2 linked regions of the Macaca mulatta genome follow. The protein of the gene in region 1 purifies or fractionates together with the protein of each later gene. This does not show direct contact. Links are inferred from orthologs where the notes say so. Each region holds a gene or a part of one and is shown on either strand. Other genes may lie near its edges.

Region 1 (4,310 bases):
CTGTTCTGGAAGAAATAATGATTTATGTTTATAAAAGTTATGTTCCCAGAAAGTGAATCTTAGTATTACACAACAGAAAGTAATAAAGAGGCCAAGAATAAAAACAATTGAGACAGCAGTGTCAGGAATGTAGCAGTGTCAGAAATATTTCAAACTCCAACTAATTTCACATAAACATATATTTTTCTCTGACCTAAATCATGAATCTTATGTAAAAGACTAAAACTAATCAAGACACCTTACAGTACTAAATAAACAGTAATCACGAATCGTAGACATCACGGAAATTCAGAGCTGTAAATTTCCCTACCAATCTTCCAGCTCAACTTACACATCACTCAGAGGAAGAAACTGAGGCCCAGTCTTGTAAAATATCCACAACCACAAACGACTGCAGAACTCAGGAAATCTAGGATTCTTTGTTCATCTATACTGGCTCTGATTTTATGAGCAAATTACTGTCAACCATAAATTTAAAATTATAAAATTCTGTCACATCTAACAATAGCTTTCTGGCAGCCAGATCAGAAGTAAACACTTCATAACATAGCACCGTTCACACAAATTAAAACATAAAAGTAGAAATATTTCACAAGGAAATTAACAAAATGTCCTAACTTAAGATAAAACAAAGATTTGATATTGTGAATGAAATGTTTAGACGTTTAGATTAAGGAAGATAACACTTAGAAGTACTTCTTTGGATGTATGCAAGAATTAAAAAATGTTCAAGGCCTATTTTTGTGCGTGATTCTTTGCAGCCAAATCATTTGGTAGATTTGTATTGCCATTCGCCTTTCTGGTTAAATAGTAACTTACTTATCAAGCTTCTTCTTAAATTTTAGTCCCATATAAGAATTTAACCACAAGGTTGTTTATCCCCTCTACATACATGTCACTAGGATCTGAGCAGACCCCTTTGTAGCCAATCAAAGTGAGGCTGCCGTGAATGTAAAAAGCTCCTGCTTTAGATTTGGGGCCTAAAACCCTGGATTTGTTTCCAGACAGACTGATACGTTAGATTGATTTTTTTTTTTCTTCCACACAAGTAAACTTGATACACGCTATTAAATTGGGCCACATTTCAATAGTTCCCATAGCAATTCATAATTTTATATACAACTGATTTGCTTCAAGCTTTGTTTTAACCTAGGAGAGGTAGGTGAGGAAGGAAGGGGGCAAGCACAAACCTAAGGTTGTTGTTTTTAACTGCAGGTGGAAAACATAAGCCAATTTTCTTCAAAATACTAAGCTGCATTTTGTTCCATCTTCGTTTTCAACAAGGCTTCATATAACATCAACACCTAAGGACCTGTATAGAGTACTTCCAATCGGGAGAGGTAGGTTTCTGCTCCCCTAAGAAAAATGGTGCTCCTGGGGTTCCCTTCTCTTACCCTCCCGGTTGCTTTCACTAAGATATACTGATGGCAAACTTGGGTCCCTTGTCCTTTAGTCCCCCTAGACAATCTCTGGCCTAATTTTGATTACTCCTCCCCCTGCGTATCCCTGCTCTCTCTTAATTAGAAATCATACCTCAGAATCGTGCCTCTCTTCCCTCCTTGTAAGAGGAGAACGCCTGACCCACCACCTGGAGAACAATGTAACCCAACTCCGAGTCCATGGATTCCTCTACCCAAGCCCCAAGATTTATCTCCCAGGGAAATCAGAAAGCCAGTTCTGTCCTGTCATCCCGGATTCCCTCAAGGTGTCCTGCTCCTGGCCTAAGATTACCAGCTCCTTCCTACCCTGGAGCATTCTACTCACCCTCCTCTTCCAAGAATCTCGCCCCTCACCCTCGGATCCTTCACCGCGACCCCCGCGCCCACCCGGAGCAGCACAACAAGCGGCGAGTGGCCTCCGAGGGCAGAGCCCGCGAGGGCGGGGGTCGGGGGAGGTCGGGGGCGGGTCGAGAGCGGCGCAGCGGTGGCCGGCCACGTCGGGTCAGTGCCCCACTCCCACGGCAGGACACAAGCCCAGTACCTTTGTAGTGCACCCGCAGGTTGTTCTGAGAGAGGCCGATGTAGCTGAACTTGTCCTTCGGGCTCCAGGACCGAGGCAGCGGCGTCTCCTGCTCGTCCACGGCTGGGTAGAGGCGCTTCAGCCGCCGCTGCAGCTCCTTCTCCTGCTCGTTCAGGGTCGAGTCCCCGTGCGGGAAGGGGGCCGCGGCGCTGCTGCCCGCCACCAGAGCTGGGGCCGGGGCGCCTCCGGCCGGGCCGGGGCCCGCGGCGAGGCCCGGAGGCGCTGGGGGCCCGCTGGCGGGGGCGGCCGCTGAGGCAGGTGGCGGCGGGGGCGGCGGCGGGGGCGGCGGGGCCGCGGTGGCCGGGGGCGGCGGCGGCGGGGGGTGGAGGAGCAGGGCGGCCGCCGCGGCCCCTAAGCCGTCGCCGCCCGCGCCGCCGCCGGGCGAGCCGGCTGGAGAGGAGCCGGCGCTGACGGCCGGGGGCGCCGGCAGGACGACTCCGGACACTGGAGCCAAGGCCGCCGGCGGTGGCGGCGACAACTGCTGCTGCTGTTGTTGCTGCTGCTGCTGCGGCGGCGGCGGCGGCGGCGGCTGCCCGGACATCCCGGCCGCGACTCAGCCTGCGGCCACCTCCACCTCTTCTCTCCTTCCTCCTCTGCTTCCCGGGGGCGCTGTCGCTGCGGCCGCCGGCACCAGGCGCCCAGTCCGCCCGCCCCGGAAGCAGGCGGCGGGCCGCGCGCCCAGGGAGACCGCGGCGGTTGAGGGGCTCGGAGACGCGGGAGTGGGCGGCGGGCCCGGGAGGCCGGGAGAGAACGTTGGCCGGAGCGCGGGCGCGCGGCCCGGGGACGAGGTGCCGAGGGCGGGGGCGACGCGGTAGCGCGGGAGGGGAAGGCGCGCTGGCGGCCGCCGCGGCCGCTGCTCTCGCGGCTGTTTCCCGGCGGGCGGGCCCGGCCGGCGCGAGACGCTGCGCGCGGGCGGTGCTAGGCGAGGGGGCGGGACGGAGGCGCGAGAGAGGCGCGAGCTGCGCGAGGGGCGGGCCGCGGGGCTCCCGGCTGCACGCCGCGAGGCGCCCTCCCGGACCCGCCAGTCGCTCGTGGGCAGGATCGCTGGGCTCCCGGCGCCGCAGGTCCCTTCGGAGATGTCCGCCTCCTCCCGCTAGGCGGCCGCCGTCTCCCCCCTCGCCGGCGAATCCCCTCCCACTTGACTTCTTTTTGTTGTCGTCGCCCCACCTCCCCACCGTAGGGCTCCTCCGAGCCGAGACGCCGCTTCTCGCCCAGGCGAGAGTAATCGAGCCCCGCTGGGGCCGCCGCGAGCCCGGGCCCCGGGTCGCTCTAGGACCCGTCGGCTCGGGGCGTGCGGAGCGGCTGAGGCTCCCCGCGCACTGCCGCTAGCTCTCTTCTCAGTCCGGTTCCCGTTTGCCGCCTCCCTCCAAAGAGGAACGCACTGCCTTTGGTACTTCACAGTGTTTAATTTCGTAACATTGACCATATGGGCAGGGGAAACCACTTCTGAAGGCAGTCTCCCAGTTAAAATAGTGGCTATTTCATTAATTAATTTTACGAGGACTCACAGTGAACTTAGTGGTAGAAGGTGTCATTAATAAAAACCGGCATATCTTCAAATACCAGGAGCAGGCACTGTATGAATACACAATTATAGTGTGTGTTTAGGAAGGGCTTCTAGAGACGTCAGAACATTTTATAGACTCGTTAATTTTCATAACTGTTCTTAGGTAACAGAAAATTATGCCCATTTTTAAAACAAGGAAATATTTACTGAGGTCAGCAGAGTCAAAAATAGGACTTCCTACTTTGCAATTCCCAATAGAGTGCTTCGTCGACTAATTTGGCACAACTTGCCAAGTGTTGCTCTCTGACCCATCATAACATTACTACTTTGTTTTCACCACTTCCCTTTGTTTAGCGTATCCCTCCCTAGCTGGCAAAATCGGGCTTTGCATGTGTAAATTATATGATGTAAATTCTGATATTTTGTTTGCTTCCAAAGATACGATGGTAATCATTTGGTCAAATAAATGTTTTGCCGAAGAGAAAATTATTTCGTTTTGAAGAAGGTAGGCCAAAGGTGATTTAATTTAAGGCCAACATTATCTGGCCAGAACAAATAACAGTCATTCGGCCTAATTTCTCCCTCAGTTACCCAGACAACTAGATGTTCTGTTGTACTTTATTATTATTATTATTGTTTTTGAGAGAGAGTCTCGCTCTGTTGTCCAGGCTGGAGTGCAGTGGCGTGGTCTCAGCTCACTACAACCTCCGCCTCCCGGGTTCAAGCGATTCTCCCGCCTCAGCCTCCCAAGTAGCTGGGCCTACAGGCCTGTGCTCACACCTGG
Region 2 (3,811 bases), on another chromosome or scaffold:
TTTGATTATTCTTAAAGTTTTTTTTTGCCTTTTCTTTAGGTGGGCAGTATCAAACCGGGAAATGCTTATAGCTCAAAACAGCTCCTTGGAATTTAAGCTACACAGACTGTACTTTATTAGCTTGTTAATGGGTGGAACCACAAATCAACGAGAGGCATTACAGTATGCTAAAAATTTTCAGCCATTTGCCCTGAATCATCAAAAAGGTGAGTCTGGAGTCAGATGTTATTAATGTTTGAAACAGGGCTATAGCCACCACTATAACTTAACGGTTCTTATTTGTTTGTTTTGTTTTTTGTTTTTGTTTTTTGTTTTTGAGACGCAGTCTCGCTCTGTCCCCGAGGCTGGAGTGCCGTGGCGCGATCTCGGCTCACTGCAAGCTCCACCTCCCGGGTTCACGCCATTCTCCTGCCTCAGCCTCCCGAGTAGCTGGGACTATAGGTGCCCGCCACCATGCCTGGCTAATTTTTTGTATTTTTAGTAGAGATGGGGTTTCACTGTGTCAGCCAGGATGGTCTGGATCTCCTGACCTCATGATCCACCCGCCTCAGCCTCCCAAAGTGCTGTGATTACAGGCGTGAGTCGCCGCGCCCAGCCCAACTTAATGGTTCTTATCTAGAGCTAATACATGTTTGCCAGTAAACAGTTGTAGTTGATAATCACAGGAAAAGCTCTGACTGGCTCTAGAACAAAAACAAAAATATTAAAGCCTCTTAGAAGTCAGAGATGTTGCAGATTTTGGAATTCCATATTAAACTGAGAGGAGATCTGAGAAAGAGCAAGGTGTGCACTTGCTCTCGTCTACCCCAACCTGGCTGTGTGCTGCTTGTTTTGCCACAACAAAGTGTCAGAGAGCCAAGGCAGCAAATGTTAACCCCACGTATTTGTGTAGGAATACATTAACTCTGCAATCAGAGATAATGTGATGACATAATTGTTACTCCTGTAGGTAATGGTAATTATACTATGCTGTATATAAGAATTTAAATTATAAGTTCAGTATTTTCACTCCTTTCCTTTTCTCTCCATGCTGTTTAAGATGAAGGAAGAAACCCAGCTTAAGGACCAGAATTTTAAAGACCTGTTAATACATTATTTTAGGCTGTATCAGTATGGGTGGGGGTATTCTTGCTTTTCGCAGCTTATTACTGCAAGCAAACTAATGCTTTCTTGCTGGTACTTTTTTTAGACATTCAGGTTTTGATGGGAAGCCTTGTGTACCTGAGACAAGGGATTGAGAACTCACCGTATGTTCACCTACTTGATGCAAACCAGTGGGCTGATATCTGTGACATCTTTACACGGGATGCTTGTGCCCTCCTGGGGCTCTCCGTGGAGTCCCCTCTCAGTGTCAGGTATGGAAATTGGCCCTGTCTGTTATTGAAGTATGCACTGCATTAGTCACCTCCCCTTAACTTGTTTGGTTCTTGATATTTAAAGCCAAAAGAACTTTTGTCTTTCTGAAGAAGAGTGCAATTGGTATTTCAAAAGATATCACAATTGGCAGTAACTCTGTTTTAGAGAAGCAGTTTTGAAAGTGTGGTGTGTGAACCTCACAGGATCCTGAGAGCCTTTTCCACTGTATTGATATTAGTACAGATGGTCCAGAAACAGTGGTGGATTAAACTGCTAGAGCCTTTACACAAGTCGGGGCGGTGGTACAAATTCCACAGATACTTGCTGGATTCCTCACCACCACACCCTTGCAGTTTAAGAAATGCTAGTTTTACTTAACCACACCTGTAATCCCAGCATTTTGGGAGGCCAAGGAGGGCAGATCACGAGGTCAGGAGTTCAAGACCAGCCTGACCAATAGAGTGAAACCCTGTCTCTACTAAAAACACAAAAAATTCGCCAGACGTGGTGGTAGGTGCCTTTAATCCCAGCTAGTTGGGAGACCGAGGCAGAAGAATTGCTTGAACCCAGGAGGTGGAGGTTGCTGTGAGCCGAGATTGCGCCATTGCATTCCAACCCATGCAACAGTGCGAGACTGTGTCTCAATTAAAAGAAAGAAAGAAAGAAAGAATATTCTCGACCTGGTGTGGTAGCTCACATCTGTAATTCCAGCACTTTGGGAGGCTGAGGTGGAGGGAATCTCTTGAGGCCAGGAATTAGAGACCCACCTGGGCAACACAGCTAGACTCTATTTCTCCAAAATGCTTTTTAAAAAACGGATGTTCTTGATGAAACATTAAAATTATTAGTTTTATTACATCTTGACTTTTCGGTACACATCATCTTAATAATTTGACAAAATAGGAAATCCACATAAAGCACTTCAGTTTCTTGTCGAAGTATGGTAATTTTCTTGAGAAAAAGCATATTGTTTTGAGTTATAAGCTAGCTAGTCACTTTTTATCATGGAATACTTTTTTTGTTTCTTGTTTTTTTTCTTTTGTTCGTTTGTTTTTTTTTGAGACGGAGTCCCCTGGCTGGAGTGCAGTGGTGCAGTCTCAGCTCACTACAGCCTCCACCTCTTGGGTTCAAGCAATTGTCCTGCCTCAGCCTCTGGAGTAGCTGGGATTACAGGTACCTGCCACCATGCCCAACTAATTTTTGTATTTTTAGTAGAGACGAGGTTTCATCATGTTGGCCAGGCTGGTCTCGAATTCCTGACCTCAGGCGATCCACCGCCTCGGCCTCGGCCTCCCAAGGTACTGGGATTACAGGTGTGAGCCACCACACCAGCCATGGAATAGGTTTTACTTGAAAGAATCATTAACACAGTTACCCACACTCAGGTCTTTGGCAGTCTTTTTTTTTTTTTTTTTTTTTTTAATCTTTTTTCTTAAATTTTTCAGAGACAGAGTCTTGCTGTGTTGTTCAGGTTGGACTCAAACTCCTGGGCTCAAGTGATTCTTCTGCCTCAGGCTCCTGAGTAGCTGGGACTACAGTTGTGTGCCACATCACCCAGCCATGTTTTTAAGTGAATGAAGCAAGCCTGTCACATTTGAAAGGTCTTAAGTATGATCCTACAAAAGCATGCATGAGTAAAAGAGTCATTCAAAGTACAAGACAGACAAATGGATTTTAATGTAGCAGGGTACAAAAAGTTTAATGGTAAAGTTTCAGATTTTGCTCTGCAACCAACCTTTAGAAAACTACTACCAGTTTTGGCCAGAACTGAAAAGTCAGTTTTGGTGTGGTATTGAGGAGGAGTTTCCACAGTGATCCAAAGCGATCAAAGTAGTGCTACACATATGTGTGAAACAAGGTTTTTTTTTTTCATTTATCTCAACCAGAAGAACATACCACAATAGATGTAATGCAGAGTAAGCTATAATAATCTAGCTGTCTTCTGTCAAGGTAGGCATTCAGGAGATTTGTAAAAGTGTGAAACAGTGCCACTCTTCTCACAAATATATTTTTGTTTTGGAAACTAGTTTTTTTTTTTTTTTTTACAAGAATGTTGTTTTTAATAATGGCATGGTATTTTATTTTTACATGGACTAATCGCAACTTTTATGTTTCTCGTTTTAATTTCTAATGCATTAAAGATATAACCCACAAAAAGAAAAGCTCTTTGAGATCCTTAATATTTAAGCATATAAAGGGGTCCTGAAACCAAAACATTTTAAGAACCTGTTTTAAGAAAATAACTTAATTCCACAAATGTTTTGTATATTTGCTATGTGCGAGGCACTGTGGGCACTGTGTTGGATATAAGATGAATAAGGTGTATTCCGCAGGGTTCTCCATCCTAGCATAGGAGCAGACAGATGCAATTAGCTATAATGTGAGGCATTGTTGCCGTCAGTCTGTCTGAGGAAGACTCTGAAGTGGGAATGTACATGCAGAAAGTTTATTGACA

What was found.
Region 2: the proteins of RANBP9 (region 1) and RMND5A purify together in Homo sapiens (affinity purification with mass spectrometry; 9 studies listed by BioGRID and IntAct, counting the BioPlex papers as one, with this or other methods). This does not show direct contact. The link is inferred for Macaca mulatta from reciprocal best matches to the Homo sapiens genes RANBP9 and RMND5A.

The regions. Positions count from the first base shown.
Region 1 is NC_133409.1:169,400,894-169,405,203, reverse strand, and holds the start of RANBP9 (ran-binding protein 9), read right to left. Parts: upstream 2,891-4,310; 5' UTR 2,561-2,890; coding exon 1,981-2,560; intron 1-1,980. UniProt on the Homo sapiens protein: May act as scaffolding protein, and as adapter protein to couple membrane receptors to intracellular signaling pathways. Acts as a mediator of cell spreading and actin cytoskeleton rearrangement.
Region 2 is NC_133418.1:26,269,253-26,273,063, reverse strand, and holds part of RMND5A (E3 ubiquitin-protein transferase RMND5A), read left to right. Parts: intron 1-39; coding exon 40-206; intron 207-1,189; coding exon 1,190-1,355; intron 1,356-3,811.